Linked DNA regions of Neodiprion lecontei. The protein of the gene in region 1 interacts with the protein of each later gene in a pairwise test. Links are inferred from orthologs where the notes say so. Each region holds a gene or a part of one and is shown on either strand. Other genes may lie near its edges. The genes, in order: protein trachealess and aryl hydrocarbon receptor nuclear translocator homolog.

Evidence for each region.
Region 2: the proteins of protein trachealess (region 1) and aryl hydrocarbon receptor nuclear translocator homolog interact in a two-hybrid assay, tested with the Drosophila melanogaster proteins (3 studies listed by BioGRID). The link is inferred for Neodiprion lecontei from reciprocal best matches to the Drosophila melanogaster genes trh and tgo.

Annotation. Positions count from the first base shown.
Region 1 is NC_060263.1:30,858,963-30,867,921, reverse strand, and holds the start of protein trachealess, read left to right. Parts: upstream 1-3,018; 5' UTR 3,019-3,391; coding exon 3,392-3,663; intron 3,664-8,959. Other genes in the region: uncharacterized protein LOC124294103, read right to left, coding at 1-332, 406-490. UniProt on the Drosophila melanogaster protein: Transcription factor, master regulator of tracheal cell fates in the embryo, necessary for the development of the salivary gland duct, Malpighian tubules and the posterior spiracles.
Region 2 is NC_060262.1:22,116,432-22,125,391, reverse strand, and holds the start of aryl hydrocarbon receptor nuclear translocator homolog, read left to right. Parts: upstream 1-2,995; 5' UTR 2,996-3,372; coding exon 3,373-3,656; intron 3,657-8,960. UniProt on the Drosophila melanogaster protein: Heterodimers of tgo/trh are involved in the control of breathless expression. Plays a role in the cellular or tissue response to oxygen deprivation.

The DNA.
Region 1 (8,959 bases):
CCATACGATCGTTAGTTGAAACGAAATTGGACGCTGTTTCGGGGGAGACAAGCAGCCAAGTTCTTCGTTGAGCTCATGCGTCAGATTGAGACACCGTAACGTTGCCGAGGCAAAAATTAATCGGTCCACAGTCAACCACAACAGAAGCGCCAAGTGACTAGCGTGGATTATCAATTGGCTGCAGTTTTTAAGGGACGAACATTCGTGTCGTGAGCCAAACGCTTCGGGAAGATAAAATCCCACGATGTACGATAGGGTGGTGAGGGTTAAAAGGATATTGACTACTTGCAGTATCGTACCCAGAACGCTTCGGTGATAAACATTCTCGCCGGCTAGACAATAGAAAATGATTATTATTCCCTCCCTATGCGAGTTGATAATCTATTAAGTTTTACAAGTGCGCACCTGATTTCCAAAATGGACAGTAGCCAAAAATAAATGCCAAAATTTGAGACGGCTGAAGTATATTCTTCATAGAAATCCTCGGCATGACGAACCAACTGCTCGACGTAAACAGAGGGCGGTTTTTCTAATGTCTGTGGAGCAGCGTTATTTGCCTGTCACCTTTGCACGCACGCGATGATATACGATATTGGTCACGCGCCGACAATGCCAAGTGAGCACAGGTACTTATTGTTAGTGTTCGATATTGCAGGTACTGTTCCAACAACCCTTGAAATATACAAATGAATCGGATTACAGGAATAAAAGCGCACGTTTTTAGGTTCGAAAAAAATTCAAATCAGAGAATGATAACCGAAAGAACGAAATTTGAAAGCTCGAAAAAACGCTTCGCGCACCGATGGAACGACGCAGGAACACGTGCAGACATGTTGCATACGCAAAATCGGGTTTCGGTTAGCAGAATGTATATCGGTGATACGCAGAGGGTTTCTCTCAAATCTTGGGGGAAGAGTAAAGGTTTCCCGAGGATCGCTGAGAGGCCCGGCAGCGAGCTGAGGCTTGTTAATATTGCGGCGCTGTTCTCCTTGTAAATTACAAAAGTTTACCATCCTCTTCACGTAATCCCCTCATAGCGTTCCTCCCCGCCTCACCCCTCTCCTCGCCACCTCTCACCCCCTCGCCTCTCTTCTCCTCTCGTCTCGCGACGCCAAGCCGTGCCAACTCACGAGGCCCGGACACCCCCGCCCCGACTATACATGCAGATATTCGACGCCGACGCCGGGCGTCCCTTGGTTGGTATTCAGGACCGGTGACCAAACAGCGTCGGACTACGCTTCGTGCCCGGCCGATTGAAACATCCTCGCTTACGACGAACGTGGACAAACGCGGACACGCTCAACGCCGAGCGATTCCGCGAAGAATCACGTTCTATCCGTCTAATCTGTGCACTTAGCCACCCCTTACCATAACCTCGCCCAACACCGGCCTGCAGGACGTTATTATTTTCAACGACACCCCGAAGGCTCGGATGCAGTGCCGTTATTACAGCTGTACGATCCGCTCGGTCATCATTTTACGACCACGTCCTCACCACGGGCTGTTCGAAAATCTAAAACATTTCACTGGGTCAGATGGGCCGTATATTATAGTTAGGACATCTGCGCCGGGAAACTACCTCCTTGATATAAAAGGATCGCATCTCGAGCACCTCATTCAGTGAAGATGCGCCAGTTTGTCAGATTTAATAATAATCGCTGCAGTGCGTATCTTGTCGAATTAATTGCAAAGAAGATTCGCACGTGCTGGTCTAGTCATGTCGAAACTCGTAACCGTTACCGTTTGTTCGGGAGTGCAGGCAGCGATTTAACCGGAAGTGCAAGCCTGGTTCGATGCGGAGCGTTAAGATGCTACCCGAGAGATACTGCAGTCCCGAAGCTTGCACGCGCTAATGGGCAAAGTTTAACGGTCTAATTTGTAATTTACGACTAACCAGGACGAAGTCGGCGTCAGCCTCGCGGAGGACGGCGGGGTTTTAACATTCGCAAATGAGTGAAGACGCCGGGAATTATTTTTATTCGGACGACCCCCCGGTGACGGATCGGTGTGGCAAATGGGCCGCGTCGCGGGCTCAACGACTCCTGCGGGGTTGCCCCCTTCCACCCTGATGGCAGCTTACTTCGAGTCCGTCGAGCGGGGTATTTCTTGCCGAGCTTTTCCCTCTCGGCAAGGGTTGCCAGTAGGAGGCTGTAAATTACCAAGAGGGCATTTTGATTAAATTTTTTATTGTACCTACCGGCGGAGAGGGTAGGAGGGCTGATTTAACGACGCCGGAGCGTCTCGAAACATTTTCTGTTCGCGTTTAGCAAATTTTTTAATTAGGGATTATACTCGTTGAAACGACCCGAAGACGCGCGATGCGCGGGGGGGTCACATCTCTCCAATTCGTAATTCCCGGTGAAGTATTATTCCGAATAAAATCTCAGCCGCGCAACTTTTCTTTTCTTTTTTCTTCTTTTCATTTCCCTCTCTTCGGCACGCGTTCCGCGCTTCAATTACCCATCGGTATTATACACATCGTACACCTTGGTCCATACTGTCCGGTACGCCGACGGTGAATCGATTCGACGTGACCCTGCTCTCAATAGCGCGTTGCGCGTTGTTCCCAACAGCGTGTATCCATTAGACATACGAGTACATTGAACAGCCTCGCGACACACACGGCGAATGTCGAAGAAATCGATTCGAAACGATCAAAGGCGATTCTCTTTTCACGAGAACACAATGTCGTCGCCGATCGAGCACGCAGCCTCCGCGATGGTGAACCGGAAGCCCATCAGCAGCGCGTTGACGCGACAAAATCGCACACAACGGCCGCCGGGCTCAACAAGTGTTCGAAGTCGCGGGGAACGCGGCCGCCCCTCGGTCGTCGGACGTCGCGACGCCGGGGCCCGCGGGTGTCGCCGCGGCGAGGCGTCGCGGGGCGGGGGCGGGGGCGGGGCGCCAGGCTCGTGGGGACGTCACGTGGCCGCGAAGCTCGGAGGCCCCGCCTCCGCGGCGGCGCGAGGTCCACGCCGCGTCATTCATGGCCGAGCCGAAGGCTGCGCCACTCTCCGGGTCGTCCGTCCGGCTCCGTAATCGCGCGAGCACCTGTCCTCTCGCGTCTCGATCCTCGCCCGGCCGCGTCAAGTGCCGCGCTCGCTTTACGTTAGTCCGCGCGTTTTCCGAGGCGACCGCAACCCCGGCGCGAAACCCGGAGGTCCGAAGAGGTCGCGACCAAGCTATGTGGTGACAAGAGTGAACCGGGGTCGGCCGATAAAGTGCGCAGTGGAGCTTGGGGGGTAACGAGCAGTGGTTCGTAAGGCGTGCCAGAGTGATCGGTATATTACGTGATACCAACCCCCTACCCCGTATAGTATATTTTATAGTGCGGTCGCGGGTGAAACGCCACAGTGAGAGATAAGATTCGTCAGTTGTGGAGGGGTGGCTGATGCACCGCGGCGGCGGCGGCGGTAACGGCCCGGCTACCGCCGGTCCTCGCGGCCTCGATCTGGAACATCCCCCGATGCCGGGGGCGGCTGGTTTCCCATGGGGGGCCATGCTCGCCGGGCATCATCATCACGCCGCTGCGGCGGCCGCAGGCATGATGCAGCCGCCGCTATCCGCCGCCGGTGACTACAATCCGGCCGGTGCTCATCACGGGGGTGCCCACCCCGCGATGCCGATGGACCTTCACGTACCCCAGGCGTTTCCCTACTACAGGTAGGCCTCGATTTTCAACTTCCCATTCACCGATTCTTTCCTACCCGACGGCGAATATTCGATACCAGAGATACAGAGACTTACGGAATTTACTAGCAGAGCACTTCTAATTGTTCTTCGTACTGCGATGCAAACTCTTTTACTAACACGGTTAACGTGACTCACATGGCCGATCCAAGACCGCGACAGATGCAAGAACCGCGTGTATCGCGTCGTTAAAATCTATTACCTACTCCCATCCCGGTATATATGGCGTGTAACACATGTTCTCTGATGTAATGCTCCAGGTGACAATCGCCATCCTACTTTGAGTTGAACGCATTTTTTGTTACTGTCGTGCCGTTCGGTGTGTAGCGTTTCCGATGTACTACGAAAAGTTTGAGGTCAAACGATGGTCCGAACGGCCGTGGCACAGGGTTGTTGCCTCAGAGTGTCCGTGACGGGAGTTGCGAAAGCGTTTCTTCTCATCCACGATTCCATTTTTGCCCCAATTTCGCTGACGGAACGTGATAAAATAAAATACAACAAAAAATGACTTCCACTTATTTTCTAGTTGACCGTGACACACGCTCCGGTTTCAGGCGTCGACCTCAGTTCTTGTCAACAGATTTGATCTAGGTTCTTGCGACGCTGACAGGAATAATAGGCAAACTTATTCACAGCTCTCCGACGGGCATGCAGACAAAATAATACAAAGAATTGCAGTTACCTTTCGGTTCTTCTCCACATATAATAGGCGATGCGCTCTGCAATGAGTTTGGTCGAATCTCTGGTGCTCGTGACCCGAAGTCACTTCTTGTCACCACTTTCACGCCGCGAGTCATCCAGAGCGAAACTGAAGCAAAGTGTTAGGTACAGTGTCTCCGAGGTGGTACAAGTTGAGGGACGATTAAGTGGTCAATCGGTTGCGTTAGAACGACGCGGGCGTTTCGGGCACGTGTGTTTTCGCCGCAGGTAGACGACGAGGGGAAAGTGTTGTTGAGGAGGCGGCCTACGCGAGATGACAAACCGGGCAGGAGCCGTTTAATGAATATAATAAATGGCAAGTAGCGGAGTTCCAGGTAGCCGCTTCCGCCGCATCCCGGCAAGAAACGCATTATCATTCTCGACTCGCACGGATCATTAGCATTTCGCTATCAATTACGTCCAGCGCCGGCGAGTCTGTCGCGCGGCGTTCATCCGTCCCCTGAATTACTTGGGGTCCCGTTTGCGGAACGCCCGACCGGGGGTCCTGGGTCTGATCGCTCCAGGGACGCATCTTCTACGGCTGCACCCACGTCGTCGGGCGGAATGCGTATGGGTGTAATAAGGCGTGAATGCGTTAGCGTGTGAGCCGCGCGAGTGCGACGCTGACTGCCACTTGTTGCAGCCCGTGGTCTAAACACCCTCGTCACCGACCGAGTGCCTCACTCTCTCTATCTCTCTCTCAGCTCTGTCTCTCTCTCTCTCTCTCTCTCTTCCTCTCCCGGGTTTTCTCGTTACTGCCCTCGTCATCCCGGAGAGTCTCACTATACTAATCCCGGCGGAACCGACGGCTCCATACGTAGTCCAGACCAATATCCGTTTTCCGGACCCCGCTGGGTCCGATGCGCTCCTCGAGCACCCGGCTGACACGCGATCCTGCGTAGTTTACGAACCTGCCGCGAGCACTACCAATTCATAGACAAGCTGCTTCTGGCCGCCCACGATTCAACCGATCTGATAGGGGGGCCTGTTTTTGCCCTTCGCACGGGCCACGGTAACTTGTTTTCGAATTCGTTCTCGATATTAGGCATTGCGCCACCGGAACGCGCGAAAATCAATTGAAATGCGATTATTTTCAACGAGGAAAAGATGGAGCGGCTCAGGAAAAAATTTAGTATAACTTTTAAGAGTTGCTTCAATATGGAAAACTAGTTATAATCCACTGTCGTGAATCGACATTTTTTTGACAGTCCAACGACAGCGCAAGTACTGTTACAAGTAATCATTTTTCCGCGTAGTACTGATTACAATGTTGAAAACATACTCCTGGAATTATCCGTAGATTTTATTCTGAATGTATGTAGAAGGCATTGCAAAATATGAATTCTTGTCCTGGTAAAAGTGGTAAAAAGAGGGTAATCCCTGAAATGAAACCTCCAACTTTCTCCAACTAAAGAAAATGCGTGCTTTATGCCAGAAAATTCGATACCATAGATTATTTACTGTGTTCAACAGAGCCGATCAGATCACGAGTACCTACTCGTTCTACTTTTTGAGTGATCTATAAAAACTGCATACAGTCGCGATGAGTTTCTCGCGGATCGATTAATTTTTGATAACCGTGCTATGAGAATAAAAATACCACTGTTCAAATATTTGAAATATTGCCCGTTGAGCAACGTTGAAAAGGACGTCAATCATTGACGGAGACACGAGGTCCGTGACTCAAATTTAGAAATTTCCAGTGCTGAAACTGTAATTTATGTTCCTTGCAAGTAATATCCATATTGTACATATGTTGCAAGGTGATAACCGTGATTCGCACGGTTACAAATTGGTGATCACCTTCGCGACGATGAGGTACAAGCAAGTAATCGATACCGTAAAGAATAATTCTTTATCTCGTTAAACTTGGGTCCGAAAATAAACCGAGTCAAAGTATCGTTCAATGGAGTCTGACAGCGGTAAAATTGACCCGAAAGGTCGGGGGTCGTAATCTCATCTGCCCACGCCTCCGTACGGCACGAAGCGAGGACTCTTTTACCGAACTGCTTCGCTCCGGATGATATTACATTTCACGAGTTCCACTTGTGCCAGTCGCCGATGTTTTCTCGTTGCGCTTTACTGAGCCGCCAGACTTTATATCAAGTCGCTTATTACAGACTTTGGAGCTATACACGCGGTCGATCCGACCGTATCTAAAGTATGTAAGAAATCACTGCGGGTAAATAGTTCTCAGGTATAATGCGATATTATTACAGACGGTGTTCAATTGCAGTCGGCATTTCAATAAAAACTGTTTCTATTCAAGTCAGCTGGCTTTTTTTGCCCAAGTCCACGTTGCTAAACAACTGTATATGCATGTATTCCGTTGGTATTTATTCACCTTTTCTCGCTAAAAGAAATATCATAGGCATGGATATAAAACGGGCGTCTAAATATTGCCTTGAACTGAAACGATTTTTACAATCAGTACCGTATATTGGGATCAAATTTACTCCAAGGTTGCTGAGATCATTTGGAATTTTTCTAATATATATATATATATATGTATGTATATATGTTGTAACTATCTACCTGTTTGATGGAATTTACAATCCCGAAAAAACATCGCACGCGTTCGGTATTATTATCATTGTTATTATTATTAATAATGGAAGTAAGCGAACGGTGAAAAAATCGGGCCACACGAACGCAGTTGGACGGTTTTTAACCGTCGGGGGTTCTTCGACGAGATTTCGCCGATCTCCGACGTCGGTGAAGGAAAAAGTGCGACAGCGCACACGGCGCAGATAACTCAGGTGGTTGCATCGTCCGGTGCAGCATGAGCGGTATTCGCCGTTGCCGTTCGGAGAGTCTTCGGCGTTCCGCGCCGTTTTCTCGTCTCGTTGACAGTGACAGACTTTGTCGGGGATCCGGCGGTATGACCGGGATCCGGGCAGATCAACGTTATTGAATGATGGCTCCCGGGGCTAAATGGGACCGGACGTACCGATATAATAAGATCATAAGAAACAAGTGCGGCGGATCAAGGCTGTCGTCGGAGCCACCCGACGGGCCGAGAGTCGACGCATTCTTCCTGCAGGACGAGAGCTGCGTCGAGGTGAATCTGCCGGGTGGCGCGGGGTCCTTCCGATAAATAACTACCTCCGTTTTTACGGGATACGCAAGCCTCGGTGCCGTCGCGTCGGCAGGCTCGACGAATGGGAACGCGTTGGCGAACCCTGAGCGCAAAGTATCATCCCCCAACCCTCGACTGTCGCTGGGTTGCGGCGGAACGGACGGTAGTTGCAGGGATGGGCCTGTTTTTTTTATTTATTTATTTATTTTTTCCTCTTTTTCACCCGCTATCGCGCGGCGTATCGCACACGGCGATCCTCGACCGCAATCAGAATTGATTATAGCCTGCCGAAACCTCGGCCGCGTCCGTATTATACAACTTATACGCCCGCGGGCCCCGGGACGAACGGCTCCTCGTAAGGCCCACCGCCGCTTATTTCGACTGGGCTTGCATCGAGACGCTCGTCTTCTTCGCGACGGCTTCCGTCGTAGCTGACCGACGGAATTATCCAGCTCTTGATTCGTCTTCCGCGATATCCAGAGACCCGAGGCATGCGACTCGGGTCTGAAGTCGAGTCGTCGACCATTCGATCAGGAAACGGTTCTGATGAGTAGATTATCGAGATAATAGGTGTCTTTCGCGGGATCCATGTACTGACAGTTTTTACATCATGCTTTAAGAGTTTTTTTCTCTCCTTGCCAATTGACGTCAGATTTCTAATCTTCTCCTACACGTGGCTCGGATCGACAGTCTGTGAACCGGGTGACCTCGTGACGGCATTGCCTGCAGCTAAAATTCGTACGGTATAACGAAGGGCAGAGGTAAAACGGAATTCGGTCGGAGGTAGTGAAAGTCTTTCTCCTAAAATTTCGCTTCGAAACTACCAACTTCCGGATTTTTAGAGTTTGGAAAAGTAATTCTTCGGAGATATGCCGTTCGACGGGAAATACTGTAGGGCACTGTATATCGAGTTCAGATATTTTATGAATACACCCGTATCACCGATGCCTCTGTAAATACAGAATTTAACTGCAAAATTTTTGTATACTACGCTCAAACTAGCTATTACCATTTTTCTAAATTACTCTGAAACATCTAAATTTACAGATTTTATTCCGGGCTTCACGGAAATTTTAGAATCATTTATTCGGTTTCATAAAAAAAATTTACCAGTACAGTCGATTTTAATGCTGATTGGAGATATTTCACTGCGTTTTGAACGAGTCTTAGACTTGAAACAATTCTAATAAATTGCAACAGCAGTAGTGGAACTCTGAAGATTGTGCGTATCTCACGATTTTCACGATCCGTTTGACATTTGTGACGATCAATTCATTACCACAGAACTATTGACACTCAACAATGTTGTTGGTCGAGAGGTTCGGCCGAAGAGAAGTTCTTGGTTTTAAAATGCAGAGTGCTTGACTATAAGTTAATTTGGCCAGTCGTTTTACGCAGTTAAAAAGATCACACAATAATTTCGACCAGCTCGGAACACGATAACATCGAATACATTTTCGGTAAAGTTGTGTGAAAATTGTTTCGACCGCG
Region 2 (8,960 bases), on another chromosome or scaffold:
CGTTGTAAACACCCAGTTTTGACGACGTACGAGAATAAGCGTCACCGTATTATAACGCACAGTCTGTTATTGTGTCAAAATGGTGTAAAACAAATAATACAACCTGAATGTTTACTATTCAGATGTCTGCTATCACCCATTCTATGCCAGGTAACGATAAACAGTTAATAATATTAACGCAACGTTAGTATACTGTACATACTACATACCTGCATACACGCCAGATCCAAAGTCAGTTTGTTGTTCATTCTCGATAAAACTCAATCGTTATTTTCCTCGTTGTTCCGTGAAGTGTTTTAACCAATAATCAGCCTCTCGCACCAGAGCGAATCTCCATTACAGTGATGAATAATTCCAAAATTTTTGTGCGGGTTAAACGTCATCCGTAGCTTTGAAAATTCTCTCTAATAATAACAACCATTCATCTTTAATCGGTTCATCTCTAACCTCATCACATTTTTCAGGGACTGACCCAAGCAAGATAATAGAAAAACGCAGAGCTGGCAGTATAGGGTGAGTACTAATAACAATCTTAAAAATCTATCTCGCATTAATCCTGCCCCCGTGTACAAGACATCGGTAGACTCGCGTGCGATCTGCGGTCCAACAATCTTGAAAAGTTCCGATATCAGCTGCGTTGATTAATTTCTTGGAAAAGTCAATGGCAATTGGTAAACCAATTATACTTTTGTCAGATTCAATCAACTCAAACGAGGAATTGTTAACAACATATCGCGTCCGATTTATCTGGTCTACTCGGATTCTAATAGACCGCAGTTTCTCGTATCTCGTTACCGACCGAGCGAATAGCACAGAAACCTCTGTTACCTTTTTATGCGATCTAATTCGCACAGCGTACCAAGAGATGAAGAAAAAAATTTTTGTGCACAAAAAATAAATTCATCAAACGTCGAATCGAGATCGGAAGCGGGGCCGCATATTCTCCGATATTGTTGTAATGATGTATAGTCCCGAGGTGTGAACCAGGCGGTAAAAAAACGAGGCAACGTCTTGCCGAGGCATTATTCACGGTACGTTGTTTTTTCTAAATCCCTATCCTTTTCGCTCCTCTGGACCAAACTGTCGTTCCAAGAAGAAGAAAAGGAAGAAAGATCGGCAGAAGTACTGGAGGAGGAAAGTAAGGAGACCCCGTTAACCGTGGTACATGTACAGCATGCAGGCAAGTGAGGAACGTAGAGAAGATCAGTTACGGTTAGACCGCACGTTGCCCTCCCCCCTTATTGTCCCCGGCGAGTTAACGTTTTCGGGAAAGCAGCTCGGACAAAAGGAGTTCGAGTCGTTTTATGACTCGCCGACAGGCTAGGTAGGCTTCTTAATTCTCAAACGGTACACGGAACTTGAGTTGTCCGCGAGAGGCGGGAGTCAAAATATGGCCGGTAACTCCCTCCTCTTCACTTACTCCCGACGTGCTTCATACTTGAGCGTTGAAGAATTTTTCCTAATCGTCAGGAAGATTTGCTTCTTCTGGGTAACGCGGCATAATCTCCCATTTTTTACGGTTATTTCGAAACCTCGGAATCCGTAAAGGCATTTTTTCCCTAATCTGCACATATGTGCTTGCTAGAAGACGTGTTTGGATTCCAAGTTGTAGGTGGATATATGTGAATAATGTTTATCGTCATTTTTATTACATTATATCGTCATATGTCGGCGACTCATCAGAGAAAACCGAGAACTGGGAATTTGAAAAATGGTCGGGCAAGTCAGAGAAAAGATGGGGAATTGTTGGGTTGGGTAGAAAATTTTGTGGCAGGTACGGAAGAAGAAAGAATAAACTTTCCAATTTTTTTTTAGTTAGAATCTAGTTTAGGTAGATGGTTACGAAGTTAAAAATTTTAGACAGGGACAAATCATAACTTCATCGAGGAAAGTTAGGAAAAGTCGTGACATTGGTGACTTATGAATTGATTATCACAGGTATTGGTTTTTTGAACACAAGTTTAATATTGCAACGGAAAATTATTGACAGTTATTCGCAACTAAAAATCTTAAAAATCTTTGAACTTGAGTCTTACGTTTTAATCTCGAAAGACAAAACTTAAAAAATTGGGTGAAATCGAAGAGCCAGCGTAACCCACGAACCAGCCAACGCAGTTCTTACGATGTTTTTCAATTCATTGCAAGTCGTCCAGGCGAGCGAGTATGATTTAATTCTCAAAATTCTGATCAATCAAGCTTGATGAAAACGTCAATTCATTGCTACTGCAGAGGTTTGATAATATTATACGTGGCTGAAGTCAGTAACGTTAACGTAACGAAACGTATAAGAAAAAAATCATTATCGTGCAATTTCCTAATGACTTTCAAGAGATGACTTTTCGAAATACATGACTACGTTTTATTTATCCTGGATCGATGAAATGTCAGACAATCATAAAGGTGCGAAGTAACGATTTTCCCTAAACATTCATCCTTACACCGCAACGTTACCGAATTCATCCTCGTCTTCTTATTTCTTAAGGGGTGAATGACTACCGAGTCATTTGTAAGTTGACTTAATGCTGAATATCGAATCAAGCTACTACAGTCGTTTTTTGATCGTAATATCAGTTGTAGCGACAATTTGTACCATCGATCAAGCTCATTGGAAATTTCAATAACATCGAGTATGCTCAACGGCAACGCCTCGTTGTCCGTGAGGTGTCTCTTTACATTGACACGATCACGCTCGCCTTATCGCGTCGGTCAAGTGAGTCCAAGAAATCGAATAAAAGCTTCGTTTTTCGCTTACACATAAGCATTATAAGATCCGAAGATGGACTCGTCGAAGGAACGGGGAACAGCCGAGGTCCTCCTCTCCTTAGACTCGGAGGAGGCAGTCAGTACAGGACGACACCCGCACACGGGATATAGACTGAGTAGTAACTGCACGCGGCGGTTTAATGGTGGGAGAAGTGATAGTCTTTACCGGAGCACCACCAGCGCACATAATGCTCCCGGTATGGTGGAAGAATCAGCACCAGTCAGTTGGATCGAGTTGTGGGTGGTGTGCAGTGCGGGTTACCACAACTTCTCCCGGTTAACCGTCGTTGGAACCGATATTCGAATCGCGGATCGGCACTGTCATTATCAGCGCGAACCCCGCGGATGCGGTGTGCAAGGTGCTGTTGTGTTTTGTGTGCTGTGTTACTCGTTCATCAATGAAGCTTGTGCCGCCCGGACCATCGTCGGATGATAATAATGTGATAACAGTCCTCGGGTTCAAGGCCAAAAAGCGAATCAGATCTACAGGAGGTGCGAGATAAGAATCGAGGGGAGAAAACAGCCGCTCCTGAAGACTTTGTCCGATATCCATCCATCCATTCTTACCCCCCACCACCAATAAAGATAGATTACCCTGGCATCGACGGAATGTACGGAGGCAGTGGATCCGCCGGGGGTGGCGCGGGCTATGCCGTCGGACTTCATCAGGGTTCTGGAAACGCTCCGGTTTCCGGTTCCTACGCCGGGGTTTCGGCCCCGATCGGCTACCAGCTGGGCCCCAATTCTGGAGCTCCAGTATCCGGTGGACACTCCGGGTCTACCCCCGGTTCTCAGCTGCTTTCGTACCCTCAGGGTAACGCCGCCTTGTCGCCGCACCATATACACCAGATGCAAGGTACACCGTCCGATGCCTCGCAGACTAAGAGGAGAAGGTAAACTTCACCGAAACATGTCCAATGAACGCTTATCATTCAGGGTGCCACGGATCGAAGTGGCGCCGGTAATTGCGAATATCATGATTTAATCGGTTTATGGAATGGCATGTGGAAAGTATAGGAAAAGCTGTTTAAAGAAGAACCTCGTGAAAGAGAAACATATCGTACTATAGAAAACACTCGTGTTAAAATTTATGAAAATTGCCAGCTGTGGACTACTATAAATATATATATATATTTTTTTTTTTTTTGTGAATTTGGAAATTCAATACCAGATAGTATTGGATTGACACCCAACTATATACTTTGAAAAAGTCCACTCTGCGTTTTTCTTACAGAACGCAAGATTGCCAATCTACTTGAAAATCTGGAATGGTGAAAAATTTTCGTTTTACCTGGAAATGTTGACATTTGAAACTTAAATTTTCATATCGTTTCATATATTACGGTTTTAGCGAATATTTTTATATATCCGTGATTTAGTTCCGAATTAAAATCTTGGGTATACGAGTGCAGTACAAAGACTTTGAATGAAATGTAATTTGTAGCGATAGATTACATTTTTTGTTCGGTACTTTAAATCTCATCGTGTCGAAGAATGTCTGATTTAAACGTAGGTGAACAGAGTTGCCTCCTCATTCTGCCCTATTTCCTTCTTCTTTACATGGTAAAAGGTATTAATTTTGACCACGGATATTTATTGTTTACACTCTTACCGTTAAAAAAGTCAAAATTTTCGCCGCCAAATCACTCATTTAACGATATAAGGCGGCATCGTCAAGAAGACGCGAATTCTATGGGCGCCACAGCAGAGAGGAATATTATTGAAATGAATACATTTGCAAACATCAAAAACAGCTGAACGACGCTTGTCAATTTAGTTGCTCATCCTAAAAATGTCATTAACTATTTCAATTTTCATGATGATTGTGCACAAATCACAATAAAGCCTCACTTTTTAGCTTCAAAATGAAATGTCTGCTTTGTTGTTCCGGTTTGATAATGTTTGTCAATAAAATTCAAAACCTTCATAAAACACACGATGTGTGATCTGTTTCTTTTCTTTTTTTTTTTAGCGAGATCTACTTTTCAGAATTATGTTCATTATGTTCAACATATATCTACCGAGATTAGTTCTCACATCAGATCCTGTGTTGAAATAATCAGAATTTCCATATTTTTTCTTCCCATTATTTCGTCGGTGACTTGACTTTTATACTTGAAGATATGTAATCGTCAGTTTTAAAATACTTGAACCACCACCCGAAGTGCAGATGCAGCTGCTCTTTTTCTCATTTTTCTAGGGAATTGAAACTGGGTATTCGGGGTATTAGACAAAAATCAGAGAAAATAAAAACTATAAGATTGTTAAAAACTTCGACAAATCATTCGGGGCATTCGATCATATACTGAAAGGAAAATTTGTACAGACAATTCTAAGACAGCATATAACATATCCCGTGGCTACTTTAAAACTCGCAATAAATGCATTTAATCGTAAAATATCGCGAAATTCAATGTATGCACCTATGTATTTCCGCATGGTAAAAATCGCGGTAAAACAAGCGCTTTTATATCTTACTTTTAAGGATCAAGCACTACTGTCCGAAAATTCAGTATCAAATTATCAGAAAAGATGTTATTAAAACTGAATTTCACAAAGCGATATGTGTTTTCTCTTCAACTCGTTACAGATTTCTATTAGAGGAGCACGTCTTATTGTAGCATATCGATCAATTGCAATTCGTTAATCTCTTCGAAATGAAAAAAATCTATTAACAATTGCGTCACCAGACCATTTTTATTCTGTGATTCGCTCTACTGAAATAGCCAAGCATAGGTTTACTGTTAATAGATTATATTTCTTCCCTTTCCGTTCTTAAGTTATTTTTTTTTTTTTTTAATTTCCTGCAGTTTAATTCACATCATTCTTCATCAAATATTCGCTGAAACGTTTTCTGGAAAACCAGGGAAAACGAAGAATTTTTTAATGGAAAAAAAATTCGAAATCCCTAATCAAAACAAGAAAAACTGGAAAAACACGTTCTCTTCATTCTGTAAAAATCACGCGCATAAAAAAGAAAAGAAAAGCATAAAAATACGGGCAGTGTTGGTACACACAAGGTTTACAGGATTGTGCAATGCAACTTCCTCGCGGTATAATATCACATTTAAACATCGTAATCTTTCACTTTTCTATATCACGCCGATTATATACGTATAGTAATTATTTTTCTTCTTCTGTTTTTTGTTTTAAATCAATTTCTACTTATTATTATTTACTTTATTATTCTCGTTCTTTTTTCCATTCCATAATTCTTCTTTTTCTCCTCGTGTCGGTTTCGAGACGGTGAAATCGCTTCGTGCATTATTATACAATGTGTATACACAGGCATTTGTATGCGTATATCTAATCGGTATTTAGGCTATTATACCCGCAGTTGCACATGCATACCGTAACGCCTGTTTTACACTAGTATTACACGTATGGCCGGTTGCTCCGTCGCGATGAACAACGCTCGTAACATTAGAAACTGGCATTTTTATGGTCTCAGCGGATATAGTAAAAGTACCGCCGCATCTTCACCTATCAAAGGAAACGATCTCGTATCATTTTTTTGAGTGCACTAATTCTACGATTATTATTTTCATATATATGTATATATATATATATATATATATATATATATATATATATATATATGATTTCTAGGTAGTTGCAGTCGGGCAAGTTCATTCATAATACGTAACGATTTTACATTTAAATGAAAGCCTGAATTTTCCTGAAAATGTTATAAAAAATATCGAAACGTATAATGAGAATACAAAGAGAAATGTTCGGTTATAAATCGCGATCTTGTGTTACGTCGCGTATCAGGTAGTCGGTTCCAGTATATATAACAACTCGCGACTCGTGTTTAATATACCAAATATACGTATAATTGTTGCTGCACGATCAGCTGAAATTTTGAGTAACAACGAGTGTAAACACACTGCCATATACGACCTCTTGCAGTTACACCTTGACCATTTCAGTCAAAATGACGACTTACAGCTCTGATGAAATTAACTCTTCATTCGTTTTGTGTTAATTTTTAACAATATTTTTTTTTCACTCAAATTAAGGAGATGTTTGAAATACCGCGGACAATTATTGCTGTACAAAAAAAAAAAAAAAAGATTTTATAATTCAATTTGATAACTTTGATGAAAAAAAATTATTTTTTATTACGAAAGGATCATGAAAAAATCAATGGCGAGCGGTAAAATTATAGCGCGGTAATTTGAAATATAATTCCTGTACCTAAATGTTAACATATAGTTGTTATTGCACGGTACATATGTTACAAACCGATCCGATGTACACGCAAACTTGGTTGATCACGTCACGTAATAGAGATTTGTGGTCATTGGCTGGTTAATTCCCACGGTGTACATACATTATACTCATATATGCATTCGTATTTACGGATATAATAGAAACATGAAACATATATGTATAATATTTGTAGCACACATTGTACCAGCTTATATCTTTCTATATTTTCTAACAAAATATGAGAGACTTACCGTGGCTTCAAACTACTGAAATAAGTTTTTGTGTTCGGGTATAAATGAGTGGAAGCACGATGTTCCGCGTAAAAGAAAGACCGGTGGTAGGACTCGTTTGGGGGTTTCATAACATTGCGTTGTTAACAGAGCGTTTCAAAACATTGCGTTTCACAAGATTCTGCAGTTACACCCGCTCAAGAAGTTTCACCTCAACATCCAGCCATAATTGTCCCGATAATTGATCTAAAATATGTACACGCGAAAAATTCAGTTGCTAAATTTCTGTATACTGTATAGTATTGTTAAAAACTGAATAATAATACGAAAGAACGTGGGTGGCAGTAGTGGTTGAAAAACAAAGAAATAAGAAATCGTTACAGTCGCATATGCACGGATATTAAACTTCCCCAGTATTAATACGTATATACATATTTTATATACGGGTTGTACCGACGCGTTAAATATAATATCCGCGACTATAAAGATACCTGCACTGACGTATTTAGATGTACTATATATACACACGCGTGCAAATAATTTATACATATATACATGTCGCGTACACGATCGGAGGCAATCGAGTACCGATAACGGTATTTTTGTATCGTAAAACAGATGAGAAAGAGAAAGAAAGAAAAAAACGGAACGAATAGCCACAGTCTGCCGCATGTATAATTATACTTACAGTGTGAATTGCTAACGACAGAATCGCCCGTCGTCTGTTATAATTTAATACGTATGCGCTACAATCCGACAGAAGTCGTTTGCTGATTTTGCGGGTAGAGGTAAGGAGAAGTATCTAATATGGGTGTTTAACTGAAAAAGCTTCCACCAAAAAGCAGCAAGTAGTAGTTGAACGAGTCACCGGAATGGCGCTCATAAGCAATAAGGGTCACAATCTGATTCGCGCTTTGTAAAGCTTTGCTGCAGCAACGCCATCTTAATTTGCTTCTACTTTACGGAGACTTTTTATACACGGAGATAGTCCTCCTTACCTCTACCCTTCATATTTGCCAGGGCAACCAACCGACATGAACGTAACCTCAAAAAGTTTAACGTTTATTCCTGGCAGTTGTTTTCAACACCGATTTTTGAGGTTACATACACCGCGGCGATCTGTGGTTTAAATTTTGACGGTTGGTCGCCCTGGCAAACAATTCATTCCTCTCGAATGTTAACGCATGTGCCTTACATTTTAGCAATGACGGACCATTCGGTCGTGTGATCATCACTCTACATATCATATTGCAATAGCTTCTATATTTAACGTGAAAATAAGAATATACCGAGAGTTCTTCTCGAAAAGACCAGCTCGTATCACCCGCGATTCAACTTACTTAATTTTGAATGGCTGACTTCCGAGCTTGCAGCCTGAAGCAAACCTTCGCTGACCAGAACAAATTCCCTAGAATCGACGATCATTCTAGCCACCATGCTGGTAACATTTTTACGAAGCTGGCTACGCTTACGAACTAGACGAGTCGCAATTGTCAAGCATGTCCTTTCAAGAAGAACTCTCGGTACATTGATTTTTTATGCTAGAAAAAATAAAAACCCTAATTTAATTTTCTCAACTCGTTAAATCAATCCATTTTTTTTCTGCAGTTTGTACGGGCGAACAACGTCTTATAATATACTTGGGACAGTACAGCTGACATGGGTTCACATAGGATGCTCGAGGCGCATCATTGCCCGTCGTACTCCATAAATTGCCATTCGCCTCTTCTCATATTTCTCTCACAGTGGCTT